Arabidopsis thaliana: one gene and its partners. The protein of the gene in region 2 interacts with the protein of the main gene of each other region in a pairwise test. Each region holds a gene or a part of one and is shown on either strand. Other genes may lie near its edges.

What was found.
Region 1: the proteins of NF-YB12 (region 2) and ANAC026 interact in a two-hybrid assay, tested with the Arabidopsis thaliana proteins (one large-scale study listed by BioGRID).
Region 3: the proteins of NF-YB12 (region 2) and AT5G19490 interact in a two-hybrid assay, tested with the Arabidopsis thaliana proteins (one large-scale study listed by BioGRID).
Region 4: the proteins of NF-YB12 (region 2) and AT5G50915 interact in a two-hybrid assay, tested with the Arabidopsis thaliana proteins (one large-scale study listed by BioGRID).

Annotation. Positions count from the first base shown.
Region 1 is NC_003070.9:23,215,423-23,220,998, forward strand, and holds ANAC026 (NAC (No apical meristem) domain transcriptional regulator superfamily protein), read right to left. Parts: upstream 3,788-5,576; 5' UTR 3,341-3,787; intron 2,579-3,340; exon of another isoform or gene 2,524-2,578; 5' UTR 2,495-2,523; coding exon 2,335-2,494; intron 2,235-2,334; coding exon 1,963-2,234; intron 1,549-1,962; coding exon 796-1,548; 3' UTR 531-795; downstream 1-530. UniProt on the Arabidopsis thaliana protein: Transcription activator that binds to the secondary wall NAC binding element (SNBE), 5'-(T/A)NN(C/T)(T/C/G)TNNNNNNNA(A/C)GN(A/C/T)(A/T)-3', in the promoter of target genes.
Region 2 is NC_003076.8:2,634,146-2,637,955, forward strand, and holds NF-YB12 (nuclear factor Y, subunit B12), read left to right. Parts: upstream 1-1,686; 5' UTR 1,687-1,948; intron 1,949-2,048; 5' UTR 2,049-2,058; coding exon 2,059-2,113; intron 2,114-2,282; coding exon 2,283-2,372; intron 2,373-2,465; coding exon 2,466-2,560; intron 2,561-2,642; coding exon 2,643-2,711; intron 2,712-2,797; coding exon 2,798-2,980; 3' UTR 2,981-3,288; downstream 3,289-3,810.
Region 3 is NC_003076.8:6,575,990-6,580,370, forward strand, and holds AT5G19490 (Histone superfamily protein), read right to left. Parts: upstream 2,520-4,381; 5' UTR 2,285-2,519; coding exon 2,252-2,284; intron 1,904-2,251; coding exon 1,831-1,903; intron 1,728-1,830; coding exon 1,634-1,727; intron 1,549-1,633; coding exon 1,438-1,548; intron 1,336-1,437; coding exon 1,278-1,335; intron 1,206-1,277; coding exon 780-1,205; 3' UTR 521-779; downstream 1-520. Other genes in the region: AT5G19485 (transferases/nucleotidyltransferase), read right to left, coding at 1-20, 128-223, 298-363; AT5G19500 (Tryptophan/tyrosine permease), read left to right, coding at 3,030-3,351, 3,434-3,474, 3,577-3,669, 3,754-3,828, 3,915-3,964, 4,053-4,142, 4,226-4,282.
Region 4 is NC_003076.8:20,709,585-20,714,301, reverse strand, and holds AT5G50915 (basic helix-loop-helix (bHLH) DNA-binding superfamily protein), read left to right. Parts: upstream 1-1,837; 5' UTR 1,838-2,049; coding exon 2,050-2,379; intron 2,380-2,474; coding exon 2,475-2,600; intron 2,601-2,709; coding exon 2,710-2,775; intron 2,776-2,884; coding exon 2,885-2,953; intron 2,954-3,044; coding exon 3,045-3,128; intron 3,129-3,234; coding exon 3,235-3,345; coding exon of another isoform or gene 3,346-3,366; exon of another isoform or gene 3,367-3,463; coding exon 3,464-3,538; 3' UTR 3,539-3,577; exon of another isoform or gene 3,578-3,711; 3' UTR 3,712-4,199; downstream 4,200-4,717.

The DNA of each region.
Region 1 (5,576 bases), on a different chromosome or scaffold from region 2:
ATATAAATATTTTATAAAAATAAAATTTACAAATTTTAATATATATTACTTTTAAAAAATAAATCGTACCGCGGTATATCGCGGGTTAAAATCTAGTTTATGTTGTATAAGTTAAACATTTGTTGTTCTACTATGTTCTTGTTTTTTTCTCTATATGGTGATGTCTAATAAAAGTAGTAAGCAGATTATAATGTTATCTCTTTAAATTCGGGGTTTGTACAAATGTAAGTAGTAAGCGGATTTTTAATACATATTTTAGGAGTATCCAATTTTGGTGATGCTATCTTTAATTTGGATATTTGAAAATCTACATACAAATAATCATGAGGGAAGAACCACAAAAAATGAGGGACATGAATTAAGTGAGTATACAACAATAACAAATAAATATATACTACAAGTATAATTTTTTTTAGAAGTAATTGTCCCTTCATTCAAGAATTGGTCACATATAATCATCATTCATATGGTTTATATATATATATATATATATATATATATATATATATATATATATATAATTAGGGATGCATATACATACATACATCCATACATACATACATACACACATACACACATACATGCGTGCGTATAACATATAGTTCCATAATGTAACAAGAATAATCAAAAGAAAATACCATATGGTTGTAGGTTTTTATTATGTACAAAACCTCCATAAATCCAGGAAATAACTCCTTGTTTTTCCCCTTCCATCTTTAAGTATAAATAACACTAGTGTGCATGTATTTTCATATATATTCACCTTGCATCTTTTTCATCTCTCTATCACTATTTCTAGAGATCAATCTGACAACTTGAAGAAGTAGAAGCAGCATGAGCATTTGAATACTCTTCTCCCATTTCAACAACCCTTTCAGAATCATTCTCCGGCAAATTTATTCCCTCATCTATCACATGATAACCCGTGTTTCTCGTGTCAATCTTGACGTTGTTTTGATGAGAAGAAGAAGAAACCACGGCTGCAGCCTCTTCATCATTGCTAAGCTGTGAAGCAACAAATTTATCGAGAACTCTCCAGTCAGTAGTCATTTGCTCTACTCCTTGATCGTAATACAGAGAGCTGAAACTTTGATTCCCTTGTTGCAATTGTTCCTCATGAGATATATTTGATGATTTCTGCAAGTTACTAATATTTCTTGTGTTATTGTTGTTGTCAGAATTGCAATTACTGGTAGGGCTTTCGAGCTGAGGAAGCTGGAGAAACATAGATTCACGAAGATGATGGTTTTGTTGTTGATGTTGTACCATTTGATTGTAATGTAACTCGAGCTCTTGCTTGCATTGCAAGTTAGGATTGTTGTTGTTGAATGCATTGAGGCCACAAGGCAATGTCTGCTGGTGATGGTGGCGGTTATAATGATGATTGGGAAGAAACTGTCGTGGAGAACTAGAAATGATCTCGGAGGCCATAAAAGAGAGCTGATCATCGTACCAATGCTGCGATGGTGATGAATGGTAATCTCCCATTTTCCTCACTGTCGCTGCCAATTTCTTCTTGAATACCCTACATACTACCCATCCTTCTTCCTACACACATCACATAAAAATATCACATTTACAACATCGCAAATGCACAACACTTGTCCATCACAGATGAGTTCTTGTGTGTAGTGAGTAGTGACCAATGAATTTCGAATTTGGATATAGTGACAAGTTTAGTAAACTTGTAATAACATTTTAAAGTTATGAATGATATGTATATAACATGTGTTTATGAAATTTTATAGTGAGTTGAATAATGCACTTTTGTATATATTGGAATTAGAAGTTGTGTCGTATGGTGAACAACTCCAATGCATTTTTAATGTAAATTGATTTCTCAAATGCATTCATTCTAAGAGACATACTTAAGAAAGATCGTATATACAGGGAAGCTCAACTCCTTATGCAAATAGAGTATGAGTTAAGATGTATGAGCGCCTTAGATCAATGTATATATACCTGAGGGGTTCCATTTTCACTTGTTTCTAAGCGATATTCGTGCATGATCCAATCGGATTTCTGACCATTTGGGGCTCTTCCTTTGTAAAACACAAGTGTTTTCCTCATACCGATAAGACTATGTCTTATATATATAGCCTTGTCTCTTCCAGTGGCTTTCCAAAATCCTGCTTTCGTGGCTCTATTGGTTCGAGTTCCCGTGGGATACTTCTTGTCTTTATGACTAAAGAAGTACCATTCGCTCTGCTCTTCGTTTCCTATCTTGCATAACTCTAAATTATCACAAAGAAAAAACAACAATCGTAAGCCTTAATTTATACCAAAACAAGGATATCACTACTAAAGAGAGATGATAGGATTTTCCTGCTAAACCTTGAAGATCACATGGCTCAATCTTGTAAAGATCAACATCCTTGATGATATCGATTTCTATTCTCTTTGATGCAACTTTTTTCCTCAAGTAGTAGTCTACAAGTTCTTCATCAGTAGGATGAAATCTGAAGCCAGGAGGTACTTGTGAAAACGAATTCATTCTTTATTCTTTGTTTTTCCGAGATTAGCCTGTTTATAATATGAAATAACGACTGTTAATTATATTATGGATCATGAAAGTAATTGTTATACAAACTCATTTCATTTATCAACTTAAGAAAAAAAAAAATCTGTGCATCGGCAAACTAATAAGAAAGAAAAATGTCAATGAAACTAAGAAAAACAGTTTTTCGTTTTCAAGATTTTGTTTTATATATGATCTAGCATTGATTTGCATCGTTTCTTTTACTTAGCCAGACACAAGTTAGGGTTATCTTTCCGACTTATTTATACACACATATGTATCATTTAAGACATTCATGTGTGTAGTATTTTGTGGGAATAAGAAACCTATAAATATCTATACATCTTTAGAAAAAAAGAAAGATAGTTGATTTAAGCCGATTAAATGAGTTTAGATTCAAAGGACTCTGGAAGATGGAATAAGGATACATAAAATAAAATATCACTACTAGTTTCCAATTAACCATTTCCCGTATAACTAATCATAAATTAATATGTTAGATTAACTGATAATTGCATTTTAAGTATCCGTAAATAGAGTCAAAGGAAAATATGAGAAATATCTATAGGATCATTCTATAATCACCAATCGAAAAAAAACAAATCTTAAGGAAAAACCTAGACCACGATCGAGTCTATTAAGGATTATACTTTGCTTAGCTTGTACCATCAGCAACATTGAGTAGGATAATGATGTTAATTATAATTTTAAAAAATCAACAATTATCAAGAAAATAAAAATAGTAAATATATCCAAAAACATAGAGATACAGAAGAGGATCAAAGATGGAGTAGAATCTTCAAAGGAAGTTAGGGTCTATACCTCAAAAAAAAAAACTCAAAAACAGGCTGATTCAACTCAACCCCTTCAAAAAGCTCCGGAATTGAGTTATTGTATGTGACTAGCTAGGTTCTATTGAATCTTTCCCTTGTACTTGGAAAGATCGAATACTTCACGATATGCACTATAAAGTACGATCAGAACTAAAGAAAGAGATAGATAGAACCCTAAAAGGAGATGTTATGCATATGGAAAAGATTTGACAGTTATCATCGGGATGTATAGCCACCGGAAAGAGATCGGATCCCAAGAGTCAGAGATATTGAGAGAGAGGATGGGAGAAGAGAAAGAGAGTAGGGTTAATAAAGAAGATCAGACGGTGATGATGATGAATAAGAATAAGAAAAAGAGAGAAGAAGACACATGAAAAAGTGTACAACCGTGTCCTAATAATCTATACTACTTTGTCTCTCTCTCTCTCTGTCCTTCTCAATCATAGTCTATGTCTTTTAATAACCCCGAGTGAGATAGAGAGACTTAAATTGTTGCAAAAGCTTCGGGAGAAAAGAGAGGCGAATAAGGTTTTGGTACTAAAGCAAGATTTTGATAGAGAAAGAGAGCGGCAACCTCCGATCCATTACCACCCACCAGCCCTTGATGGAGACGGTCCAAAGTTTAAAATATCTTCTTTTTTCTTTTTTAAATACCGTTATATATATGGGACACATATTCTCTTTGAACATTTTGTCCTTTGGCATCTTCAAAAGTAAGTTCATAGATTTCTGTAAGACTTAACTCAGTCATGTTCTACGGTCCAAATTCGTAGTCTAAATGTTAACATGAGTGTCTAAGAATCCTCGATAAACATCGCATAACTATATTGAGACTTTCGTATGTTCTTTTTACTTTGCATGAGACTTAATTACCATCCAGTTTAGCCAAATTATTATAAAACAAAACAAAACAAAACATAAAAACACGAAACAAAATAATATATATAGATGAAAAAATCAGATGTGGAATTGGAGCCACTATTAATGGAATCAAGGGCCCGCCAACAATTGGAATGTGTTGACGTGGCGGCTGATGGTCTGGCGTGAGATAGGCTTCGATCATTAATCTCACAATTTGCTGTTCGGTCATGTGGGTCTCATCCCGTTTTCCCGTTCTTATTTGTGAAATTTATGACCCATATATAACAACATTAACAACACACATTTTATTTGAAAGTTTAAATCATCAATATTAGATGTTAACAAAAAAAAATCATTAATATTAATTGTCTTCTGTTAAAAGAGTAGAGTAGGTTTCAATTTATTTTCATAGGTGAAAGCAAATTTTGCATACGCTTAAATTTTCAACTTTAATTCACCCCATACTCTATTGCAACTCAATACTCCCTCTGTTTCTATATAAATGTAGCTTAAGGGTTTTTATTTTTTTTCAATTTAAGTGTTGTTTTCAACTTTCTATGCAAATAATAAATATATTTAGTATTCTTTAACCAATTATATTTAATCATCTATTTTTTTATTGGTTGAATTGGTTATAATAAATGATGTTTTTATATAAAAGAGGTAGATTAAATGAGATTTTTATGACTTCTTAATTTGTGTGAAAAAAACCTTAAACTACAACTAATATGAAACAGAGGGAGTATAAATCTTTATCGAAATTCTTTCATCCAATGTTCTAGGGAAATTAACAACAACAACAAAAATAAAAAAATCTAACTAATATCAGCTTCATCTAGACATTTGTGACAGAATTTCAGTTGTTTTCTAAAACTCAACCTATTATAGTATTATATATGATGAACTGATAATACAAATAAAAAGGTTCATGAGTTAATGGCGCTAAATCAAAAATGAAAATAAATATAAAACATGTATTCGTTTTTACACTTTTAGTCTTTTAGAAGAAAACAGCATACATTTGTCATTAGAAATTCATTTTGTGAGATTTGAGGTAACATTGAAGGTAGTGATGTTGATCGTAGCTAGTTTCCGTTTCATGAACATAGTTTGAATGCCATGTAAAATATGCCTTCTGTTAGTTTTTTTTCAATCTTACATTTTTTTTGTCTATGACTACAAAACACATATTGCTTAACGAAGTGTTAATATTTTTCATTACTGTATGTTATTTTCTTGTTACGATTGGATGACATTAGCTTAAAAAAGTAATTTGCATGGTTATCATATAAGAAACATTTCAAATTTCATAAATGAAACTGATTTTGAGTTGACTTTCTCTAGATATTGGTTGACAGCTAAAC
Region 2 (3,810 bases):
GCATGGCAGAGTTTACATATTTTTGGAGTGAATTGATTCTTGTTGTTAAAAACTCAACATCAAATCAGCTTCATGAACTTGAAACGCTTCTAAAGCATAGATATCAGAGTGAAGGATTAAGAACAAGTACCCACAGATGTCATCCTCGCTTCACCACTGATACATCGCCTACTACAATATATAGGAGACTGCAATTGATTTCACTGGTCCAGAGAAAGCAAATTTAGATGCCAACTTCTATCTCACCTACAAATGTATAAAGGGCATTGTTACAAGAACACAGGAAAATTTGTACCGATTTATACAATGGCAAATTTGTACCGATTTGTACCTACAAATGTACCGATTTATAAAGAGAAATCTTGCATGTTGGAAAAAAGCAAGAAAATTTTGAAGCTAGACTTTTTGATACATGAAACAAAACACAACACTTTTTCAGGAACATTGTTTGGTCAGACGAAGTAAGCAACCTACAAGAATCTGAACTTCTTTTTAATTATCCAACGCCAAATCTACTTGATAAACATTAAGATAAAGCTAAGGCGCTTATCAGTCAACTACACACTTCAATAACAAGCACTTCATTAACTGAAAAAACAAACAAACTAAAGAGGTCGAATTCTCACCAGAAACAACAGTCACCTCTTCATCTGCTCTCTAAGAACACAAAATCCTCAGCTTTCCCAGAAAAGTAATCGGACTTGACTCTGTTTTCCCTCACTTTTTTCTTCTTTCAAAAACCAATAAACAAAAAGATTCAAGTCAATAAGAAAGATACAAGAGGCAAACGCTGGATGCAGAGGTTTATCGATCTATTCATGCTTTTACATTTTTAATGTGTTCACAGGAAGAGATCGATGAACCGCTGCCTCCAGCGACTCTCACTCTTCTTCCAACTAAACTCCAAAATGTCAACGAAACATAAATTTTCCGAATCGGATCAAACGAAACACATCAGATCTGAAAATTCAACAGTCAAAATCTATACCACAAGTAGTAAATAGCTGGATCTTTATTGCCTTATGAAACCAAATGGACAAAAACATATACCCTAGATTACACACATGCATCTGCAGACAAACTGGGAGAAAGAGAATCAGTGTGATGATAGAGATATGTCAAATTAATGAATCCAACAAAGAAAGAAAAAGGAAACAGAGAGATGAAAGTTTTAACCAGGAATCTTCTTGACCAGATACCATTTGTGATTCTCTGATTTGCCTATTGGCCTACTACATCCCTCCTCTCTCTCTATCTTTTAATAACAAACTTTATAGATCTGGTTTTTTCTTCTAGAACTAAAATGTATTTGATTCATATTTATAACTAAAATGTATCTAAAAGTCTCATAACATATTTGTCCAAGAAAAAATTGTAGTAACATAGTTATTGAATTTGAATATCATAAGATTTAGGAAGACATTTTAAAAATCATATTTGAATAACATGTAACATGAATAACATACTAAAAAGAAGAATGACATGGAGTTGGAAATAAATCAAACTCTTACAAAATACTTCAAAATTCAATACATCCCCTAATTTCTCTGATTAACCAGTGGACTAAAAAGCGGATGATTTGTTCAAAACCAAAAAAAAAAAAAAAAACTTGGGCTGAAATGGGTCGTGTCTGCTGCAAGCAAGCCTACATATGTAATGTTCGGTAAAAAGCCCATTTCATTTGTCTTAAAAAATAACGAAATTAGATCTTACGCGCCGTCAATCACTTTAAGGCAAAAGTGAAAGTCACGCACTTACTTCTGGTCTTATGTTTTTTTGCCCTAATCGACTTCTGCGTAGAGAAACCGAAAAAGGAGAGAGAAAATCCGCCGATAAGATTCCGTACGACTGCACGTCTCCGATCTCGCCGTGAATCTGTCTCGAGAGTCTGTTAACTCACCGGATCTCCGTCGTTGATCTGCCTCTGTTTCGATCCGTGTTAAACTCGGTAAAGTCTATCTCTGTTTTCTCCTTTGTTCTTCATCTTATAACTTCGCGGTCTAGATCTTCCGGTAATCTGATTTTCCTTTTGAATTCTGATCATGTAGATTTAAAACTATGGATCCGATGGATATAGTTGGAAAATCAAAGGAAGATGCTTCGCTTCCGAAAGGTTCGGTCTCGTTTCCTTCTTTGGATCGATCTACTACTTAATTTTTGGTTCTGTCAATTTCTTGGTTAAATTGAAAGATTTTGTAAATCTAGCTCTAGCTATGGCTTCAGGTTACTCAATGCAATGACTCTGTATTTTTGTCTGATAAAAAATATGTTTGTTCTTTCAGCTACCATGACGAAAATTATAAAGGAGATGTTACCCGCAGATGTTCGTGTTGCTAGAGATGCTCAAGATCTATTGATTGAGTGTTGTGTAGGTAATGATTATTAGTCTTGAGATTTATGAATGCGAACATTGTTTCAAATTTGCTTATTTCATTACTTATGATGTTCAAATTTGTTTATTGTAGAGTTCATAAATCTTATATCGTCGGAGTCGAATGAAGTGTGTAACAAAGAGGATAAACGAACAATAGCCCCTGAGCACGTACTCAAAGCTTTACAGGTTTGGTGTTACATTCAGCTCAGTCTGATACATCTATGTGAAATATATACATGTTTTGTAATCTTGATTTTGTTAAACACAGGTTCTTGGCTTTGGGGAATACGTAGAAGAAGTTTATGCCGCGTATGAGCAACATAAATATGAAACCATGGTAACCATCATCTCCTAGCTCACAATAAGATCCAGACTTGAATGAAATTATAATCAGTATCATTTGTGTTATTGCCAATTCTGCAGCAGGATTCGCAGAGAAGTGTGAAGATGAATAGCGGAGCAGAGATGACGGAAGAAGAGGCGGCAGCGGAACAACAGAGGATGTTTGCAGAAGCTCGAGCAAGAATGAATGGAGGTGTTACAGTTCCTCAACCAGAGCAACTAGAAGAACCCCAACAACAACAACAAACAAGTCTACAAAGCTAATCAACAAAACCGCAAAGGAATCCCTTATTTTAACATTATCCTTTTGACTTCTTTTTCTTTCTAGCAATATCTCTGTAAAGTGCAAAATTCGTCGCGTCTTGGTGTTGATATGCTCTTTACATTTTTTAACTTAGGGTTGTGTTTTTTCCCCTTTCTTTGAATCTAAAATCACTTAGGTGATTCAGATGTAATTAGTAAGGTTTTTATTGAATCTTAGCAACTAGTGTCATTCGAATCCAAATCCCCTTAAATTATGTGTAACTTCATAATTCTGAAGTCTTGAATCCATTTCTAGTCTGATCACCAAATCTGGATTCCTTTGTACGGCTTCAACATTGAAGCATCTAAACCGGAGAAACTTACCCGGTTTCTTTTCCCAAACCATGGAATTAAACCAAGGGCTAGAGGAGAGGAGTTGGACCACTCTTGGATGTCTAATCAACTGTTTAATTTATTAGTTAAGAGTAATTTTGGTTAGGCAAAGAAGAATGGATTTAACTCTCTCGCCGACATTTTGCGGACTTCTTCTTTGTCAAACACACACACTTCGTTTTCTGCCTTTCAAAGTTTTTTATTTTATCCAGTAATAAGTAATCTAATAATTTTTATAAGTAGATAATTATTTCTACGTAATCAGAATCTCACAATATTTTCGACTTCATTTGTAAAAATGTATCGAGCACTTTTATTTTTTTAATATTATAATTATTCTTCTAGAAAAAAAATTACTTAAAACTTTTATAAAGATCTGATTTCACCCATTTCTGTCATCAATTAATTAAATAAATTTTTGCTGTTTCAGCTCGATTTAATTTGCAAAGCTTAGTCTT
Region 3 (4,381 bases), 3.9 Mb from region 2:
GCATCTTCCCCTTCAACAACCTGTTCCACCAATGCGAAACGAAAAAATCTGAGCTCTATTGAAAACATTCAACCTAGAAACTCGCAAAAGGAAATCAGTAATTGTATTGAAAAGATAAAAGGCGTACGACGATCAGATCCTTGAGATTACTACTCTCGAGAAGATCCAGAACGTAAGACAACACCGGACGATTCGCTACGGGAAGCAACGCCTTAGGAACTTCCTGAACAACAACAACAAATTAGCAATTCGTCGAAACTGTTATGCTGATGATGAGAGTGAAAGAGAGAGACGGACCTTGGCGACTAAGGGAACAAGATAACTAGAGAATCCGCCGGCTAGAATCACGACCTGGAAATCCATTGTCGCAGCTGAATTGACGAGAGAAGACGAAGAAGAGAGGTTTCTGCTTTCTGGGGTTTTGATTTTGAGAAACGGTAGACGAAGACGATATCAATTTAACCCGCTTGTTTCTTTCTTTTGGATCCGACGGGTCGTTCCATTAATCTTGGGTTATCTATCTCACTTAAATATTTTAATTAAAATTAAACATTAACAAAGATTAAACCATACTTTATGTATATGATTTTATAGTTTGTGTAAAGCTTGCTATCAAATTAGAAGAGATGAATGAAAAAAACGAAATTACATTAAAGAGAATGAGAGCAATCTCCTACATACACACTGCTTCTATAATATATAAGTGTGTCAATTCCTAAGTTGTTGTTTTCTTTCTCCTACCTTTAGTTTTAAGTCATTTCACCTAAACTGAAACTCTTTCACTCTTGGTCTATGCTTTCTTCATCATAATCTTCCTCGTCACTAGCACTAGCCTGTTGTTGATCATCAGGATCTATTTTCATTTCGTTAATCTCCAACGGGTAATCTGGACTTCTCTCTAGCTGTGTTTCCAGCCATGTAGCATTGTCTCCATTCTCATCTAATTCAACATTAAGATCGAAGTTCCTTACTTTTACCTCTGAGTTACTACTATGATGATTGTTGTGTGATGCAACTTTCTTCCAAGATGTATCGTCGTGAGAAAGGCTCCCGTTTTCGGGAGACGGGGTCCTGCTGCTTTCGGGAGAACCGTCTTCTAAATCTTCTTCAAATTTTAGAGACAGCCCACTTCCTGTTCTTCCACTACTTCGTCCGCGGCCTCTACCTCGCCTTCCTCTGCCACAGCTAGTATGTTTGACCTCATGCTGTAACAAGGCGAAACATATGCGTTAAGTAATATACAATTGTCTATTGGCAAAATAAGTCTGGCTAGTTACCATTTGAGTGGTCTTTATCATATCTTCATCGTTGCAACTACTTCCATCAACAACTTTCCTGAAAAGTCGAACAAACAAGTTGTTAGACACGATACCGATATCAAAATTAGGTAGATTGATTGCTGACATAGAATAGAACTATAGAAGAAGCGGGCCTAACCTTCTTTTGGTAGCTGATTGGTCTTCAGTGTCTGAGCCACCCAAATCAGGAACTTTAGCGACAGTGTCTCTTAGAAAATCAAAGACATTAGTCGCTTGCACACACTGCTTCCTGGAAAAAGAATAGAAAAGTATTGAAGAAGCAAGAAAACAATTGGTTTATATAAGCAAAATCCAAAGATGAGATTCACACTTACAAATGAAAGGCGTTGACAGTTTTAGCACCTCGGCTTAGAGTTACATCATACGTGTGATTACACAAGTCTTGTAAAAACAGCTCCAAAGCTTTAGCTGAAAAGTTAAATTCAAAACCAGAACAGATCAACTACATGTGACACAAGCTAACATATGAACAACGTTTGAGTAAGAAAATCAAAAACATCACATCACTTACAAACAAGAAGAGGGACTGCCATTGCTATTTTGCCAACTTCCTCATCAGTTTGCATAATCTTCTTAATCCTTGTCTGAAACAAATTTTGAACATATCAACACATACAAAATCAGACTCAGACACTAAGAAATTTCTTATGTAGATATCAACATCTTTGATTAGCCCTAAACAAGATATCTCTGCAGTTTATTTATATCTAGCCATGAACAAAAGAGCCCTCCAAGTCCAAAGATACATTCACAAAGATAAATTTAAAAACCTAATGAAGACAAGGACCATGGAACCCTGAAGAAGTAAACCTGAAATCATAGCAAAAGTTGAACCTAACTACTCTCACAACTCACAAAACAGAGTTCATGGTTATCTCCATAAGAAGAAGAACATAACAAACTATAAAACAGTGAAAAGTAATGTTTCATACCGCTGGAAAACGTGTCTGGAGCTTCTTCTTCATGCTATTGTTTTACAGAGGAATAGCAGCTTCCAAAGTCAAGGGGAAGAAGATAAAAACCCTAATTTTGAAATTTGTGTTGCTTGCTTCCGTTCTCTCTGGAATAAATAACAAGAGAAAATCAAATTAACAAATATATATATTGATTCCATCAAACACGACAAGAAAAGGAAAAAAAATAAATTCCTTTGGATCTGTTTTTTTCTAGTTAGAAATTGGTCTCTGTTTTCTGACCCGTCCTTGTCGGACCCAAATCATACGCAATTGGACCTTTTTTCTCCCACTCTTTTTTAATTTAATAATGAGATCTTATATTTTATTTTGCTTTTCATTTAACAAGTTTTATGTAACAATTATTTAATTTTGACAGCATGTATTATGTAACATTTAATTTGATTTATCACATGATATCTTAAGAAACCATAAACTCAAAATAAATAAAAATTATTTTTATAGAGTAAATTGTAAATTATACTTTATGTTTGCATTGCTATTCTTTTACTTGCATACAACTTTTGTATCATTGATGCAAATAGTATTTTCTAAAAGCAAAATAGAAGCATAAAATGCATAGATTTTAAATTTAATTGGGAAATAAAACTTCAAAAATAAGACAGCCACACATGTTAATCTGGAAGCTAAGCTCTCTCTAACACAATCTTTTGACTGTCGGAAGTCGCAGAAAACAAACCAGAAGACTGATCATAGGCTTTTCATAGCTAGTGTCTGATATCAGACAAACACAGACATGTCTGTGTCTCTAAGCTACACTTGTCTTCTTAGATTACCCACCTTTTCAGTTCCAACGAAACCCATTAGTTTCAATGGACCTCTCCCTTTTTATCTACCAAGATCTCATATTTCCTCATCTTGTTTTGGTTTCAAATCAAACCCATTCATAAGAACTCAGACCCCAAGATTCTTCAAGTGTTTGCCTCAGAGAGTGTCTGATGAACGCAGAGAAACACAAGTAACAACAGAAGAAGAAGAAGAAGATGAGGAAGAAAAGATTGTCGTATTTGAGAGGCTCTTCTCTAACCTGAATCAATCAACATTGAAGCGAGAATCCGGTACAAAGACTGTTACCATTTTGCATGTGAATACCCAAATTTGGATAGAAATTTTTGGTTTTTAAGTTTTAGAAATTTTCAGGAAGTTTGTCCAGTGCAATTTTCTTGGTTGCTGGCACTACCGTAAGTGTGTCTACTTTCTCATAACTCTGTCCATATTCTTGTTGAAACTATGCAAGGAATCAAGTTTGTTTTCTGCTAAACTTTTATCCTTTTCTTGATTAGGTAGGTGCAGGGATACTTGCGATTCCAGCTGTGACACAAGAATCAGGTTTTCTAGCCTCTGCAGTCGCCTGCATTCTCTGTTGGGCCTTCATGGTGATGATGGATGATTCTTCTTATCTCTGTTTTATGTTTCTTGCAAGTAACGGATTGGTCATTAGTAATACATGTTGGCTTCAGGTTGTGACAGGTTTGCTGGTTGCAGAAGTAAATGTCAACACCATGAGTGAACTAGGCTCTGGAGGCGTATCTCTTGTATATCCCCTCAAACCAATACTTCTATGAAAACTTAGCTTAGTTATTATGTCTTTAAACTCAGCTTTGACATGATATTTTGGCAGGTCTCAATGGCGAAGCGGACTCTTGGGTCTGTTGGAGTTCAAGTTGTTTCGTAATCATCCTCTCATTCTCACTTCAGAACTTGCTTTCCATCACTGTTTCTTTCATTTAAACTTGAAACAAGCCTTTCTGTTGTGTAGTTGGTCTTATCTTCTCATACATTACACCCTTCTTGTGGCTTACATTGCTCGGTCATCAGGCATCCTTACCAACTTCCTCGGCATTCCGATGTATGAAACTCCAATTGATCCTCATTTACACTGACACTTTTGAGTGTTGTGCTTCTGTACTTATTCCCTAGAATGTTCTGTAGATGGGAGAGTGCAACTCTATTCTCACTGATCTTCGGAGGCCTTTGCTTCTTTGGAAGGTTAGCTCTCCATATTAAACTAATCACTGATGCCACAATTTAAATCAGAAACTGTATAAACACAAGGAGAACCAGAGTGGAATAGTGGTAGACCCGACA
Region 4 (4,717 bases), about 18 Mb from region 2:
AATGTACCTAATCTATCTCGTAATTCAAGATTCATTTTCATATCATCCTTTCGTAATTAGTCTCGTGCACTTATTCTTTTCTTTAAATGTGATCTTGAATATTCAAAACACAGTACAAATAATAGATCAGCCGCTAATTAAATGCGTTAGATAAAGAATAAAGGTTTTGTGCAAGTACCCTGATTTGAAAAGAAGCAAAAGAGAGATATTGGTGAAGAAAATATGATGCCAATAAATGTTTATTCCTCATCCGGATGAAACGTGCATAATCTCTATCATCTTCGGGTTATGATAATTAATTACAAGCTCATGCGGACCTTTGACATGTAAATTATGTCCAAAAGAACAATCATAATGTTTTCTTGGTTCCTAATTAGCATGTTTTCTTTCTGCTCTAAACTTGATCTCAAAAAGAAAATCATAATAGAAAGTCCATAGATCGTATTCGTACGTATACAATTGATAATTAATTAATCGTAGATTCGCTTAATGTTTTTGTTAAGTACGTGTCATAATAATAATTTATAAATAGAAGAAAGGAATTATAATAGTCTAAATAATTAAGGACATGGATTGTGATAAATTTTGATGGTCAAGTACTCGTTTTTTCGATTATTACTATAAGAGTACCCGATTATATCAAAACAAAATGGAGATTTATGATTTTTTGTCTTCTATGCATACCCAACGGTATCATGGGATTGGACTTCACACCTTATTCACAATTTTTTTTCTTTTGTCCTTTTCTGAAAAGGAAATTTCCTATGTCGATCCAAAGTGGGAAATGGACAAAAGTTTTTATTTTCTCTAACAAAAATGGACAAAAGTTTGTAGTATTATGGTATCCACATAGAGATTATTATTGAGAAGATCACGCGGCATTACATATTTAGTTCTAAATGTACAGTATTTTGGATAGGGTAATATATCTCTCTACTATCTAGTCTTTAATTATATCTGACTCGTTAAACTGTGCCTATATATTGATCTATATATTAGCTGTGGCAAAGGTTCTGCAATCTGATAAAGTAAAATTGATTGATAAATGATAAATATTGCTCTTTTGGTGTACATTAACTTTTTTGATATGTGTATTATAGGTCCGACCCTCTTATAAAGTAAAACAAGCCATAGCTTTAGGGCATTTCTAAATATAGTTCGTTGTTAGGGCGACAATATTGAATGCTTACGTGAGTGTAGTTGATGGTCAATACAAATACATCAATTGGTTTTAGAGAACATTTTCCTCGAGTTCGACTGCCCACGTTGGTCGTTCTTTCGTTCATTTAATGGGTTTAGTTGATTACTTCTTTTTATAGTACATTTATTGTTTTCACGTTATGCGCTATTATATTCTTATAAAAAAAGTCTTAATTAAATGATATATTGATCAGTATTTGTCTTGTTTAGTTTTACAACATGGTTGTATTACAAATTATGTAGTATTTATAATCTTATATTTCAAAACATAATTTATTCTCTAAATAACATAAAACTATGGAGAATACAAATTACAACAAAATTTAAAATTATAAGTTCTTACATAAAGTAATTTGAAACAAATTTTCTAAAATATCATGATACCCATAGAGTAATAAAACTAAACAAAATAAATAGACAAATATTCCATGAGTTTGCATTTGAAAAAAAAAAAAAAAGAGAACATACGTATCTAAGAATGATGAAAGATCATTAGTCACCTAATTTTTGAAATTCAACATTATTTACTTAAATTTTCATTTTTACTCTTCCATGGTTACTCAATGCAATTACTTAAATATACAATCTCGATATTATATATAAACATATCATCTAACATAAATTACCCGCCGAAATATGGTAGTAATTTCTTCTCAAATAAAAAGGTATCTTCAATATACAAGTGGTCCCTAAAATACTCTTTCTTCTGTTTCTCCTTGTTTCTTTGAATAGTGAATACAAAAGCAATTCCTTATATAAACCACTTCAAGTCCTTAATCTTCTCTCACAAAGAAAAAACACTATCTCTATCGACAAAGATAAGAGAACTCAGAAGCTTCTACTCTTAAAATGGCAACTTTCTCTTATTTCCAAAACTACCCTCATTCCCTTCTTGATCCTCTTCTCTTCCCTACACCTCACTCCTCCATTAATCTCACTAGTTTCATCGATCAAAACCATCTCTATCCACTACCAAACATTTCCACAGTTGAAGACATTTCCTTTCTTGAATATAATGTTGACAAAACTGAAAACTCTGGTTCAGAGAAACTGGCCAACACAACCAAAACAGCAACCACCGGTTCTTCTTCCTGCGACCAGCTCAGCCACGGACCATCAGCCATCACCAACACCGGAAAAACCCGTGGGAGGAAGGCCAGAAACAGTAATAACTCCAAGGTATGTTAAACCAACTTGTAATGTATCATCTATCATTTATGTGATGGGGTTGGGATAGTCAAAAACATAAATGTTGGTGTGGTTTGGTGAATTAGGAAGGAGTAGAGGGAAGAAAAAGCAAAAAACAGAAGAGAGGAAGCAAAGAAGAGCCTCCAACAGATTACATTCACGTTCGAGCTAGAAGAGGCCAAGCTACTGATAGCCACAGCCTTGCTGAGAGGGTATTTTAGTCATTTCTCTTAACATTTTAATTTTTCTTCATTAATCATGTTTTCATAAAATACATTTTGATTAATATTTGATTAAACTTATATATATATATATGTAAAGGTGAGAAGGGAAAAGATAAGTGAGCGGATGAGGACTCTGCAAAACCTTGTTCCGGGCTGTGATAAGGTCAGCTAGAGTAGAGACAATTTTATTTAGGAGAATTGATAATGGTTTAATTTTATAATGTTTCTAGAAAATGTTATTAATTGATTAAATGTGACTTGAAAACGAATAGGTAACAGGGAAGGCCCTCATGTTGGATGAGATTATAAATTATGTCCAGACCTTGCAGACTCAAGTTGAGGTGCATTTTCTTAATTATTTTGTTTTTTCTTGTAACATTTTATGTTAAAACTAATGTTTCTAATTCATAACTTTTTTTTCTGTTTCATTAGTTTCTCTCAATGAAGCTAACTTCTATAAGTCCGGTGGTCTATGACTTTGGCTCCGACCTTGATGGCCTCATACTTCAATCTGAGGTATTTCATTTACACAATGTCTCTTAATCCGGTTACCGATAAAACCAAGTCATGTATCCCGAAAAGCCGGTTATGGATCTTAAGTAGATATTTTCTTGATGGACAGATGGGTTCTCCAGAAGTAGGAACGTCTTTTACCAATGCAATGCCAACAACTACTCCTATCTTTCCTTCACTATTGGATAATTCTGTAGTTCCCACACATGCACAAGTTCAGGTTTTTCATTTTTTTCTATAAGTGATTATTTCAGATAATAATTATAATAAGGAGAATGAAGATAGATAAGAATCAATTATTGGAAGATTAATAGATAGTGATGTGTTGCTTAATTTAGGAAGAGGGAGAAGAAAGAGAGAACTTTGTAGACAGAAGTGGGTTCAACAACAACAACTTCTGTTCTTTCCCTTGATAAAATTACATGTCGACACAAACACAAAAGCCTGCTTTCGTGAGTTTCTTCTGGTCTTGTCTCTTCAACTACCTAATTATTATCATTACAATTATTTTTAACATTTCTCATATAGAAATTGTTAAAAATCTTGATGTGGGTTCGTAATTATTGCTATCGTTTATTGGATGTAGGTTGATTTAATCTCCTCCCATTTGCACGGAGGGAATAAAATCTACGTAAACCAGGTTTTGTAAAAGTGGATGTACTTATTTGTTCCGTTTATATAGTTTGAAGAAATAAAGTATTTTAGAGACTTAAAAAGCTCATTTTCTCTATTTGTCCCGAGAGTTTCAACATAATCATTACATAAAATCAATGGATAAATTCATACTAAAAGAGAATGGTATATGAGGCAGAGGCAAATTCGATGGAGGAAAGAAAGACATATAAACTAAGAAGACCTATCAGCTTAATCATTGTTTTTTTTAATATAATTGAATTTTGATGTATCCACTCATTAATTTTATAAGTTCTTGTATTTTCACCACTTCTGTCTTTCTGATTTCTTGCACCAAAGTTTCCTTTTTCCTCCAATCTTTTTAAATGTAAACTGTTATCCACACACTCATGTTATATTTCCTATATATATAAAAATGTTCGAGGGATAACTACTTATGCATGTATATAAATCTAAATGATTCGTTTCCTGTCAATTTAGTTGGCTACAAAATTATGTCAGAAGAAAAGATTAGATTTCCCTTCCTGAGAACACTTTAATGTACCTGTTGAATAGTTTGGTCATGCTTTTCTGCTCTCACTTGTCACACATTGATAACTCCCATTCCTCTGTATCTGTCCTTTCACAATACATATGTTATAAGTTTTATTTTAGTTTAGAGTATGTCTAATATATATATACCAAAATTCTTGAAAGAGATATTTGATACTGTTGTATTTGTAAATATGATTTGTTGGTTGTCTAACATTTTCATGAGGTGGTAATTAACGATTCCTTGAGTTATTCAATCCTAAATTGCAGGATTTATTTGAATACACCTAAATAAATTATATGCAAGAGCCTTATGTATATTATCGTTATTCAGTTACATACATATTAATAACCTCTTTTATTAACGAACCTAGAATAGAGATTTTTTTGTATGATTTTCATTTCTTGATGTATATGTCAGGATGTAT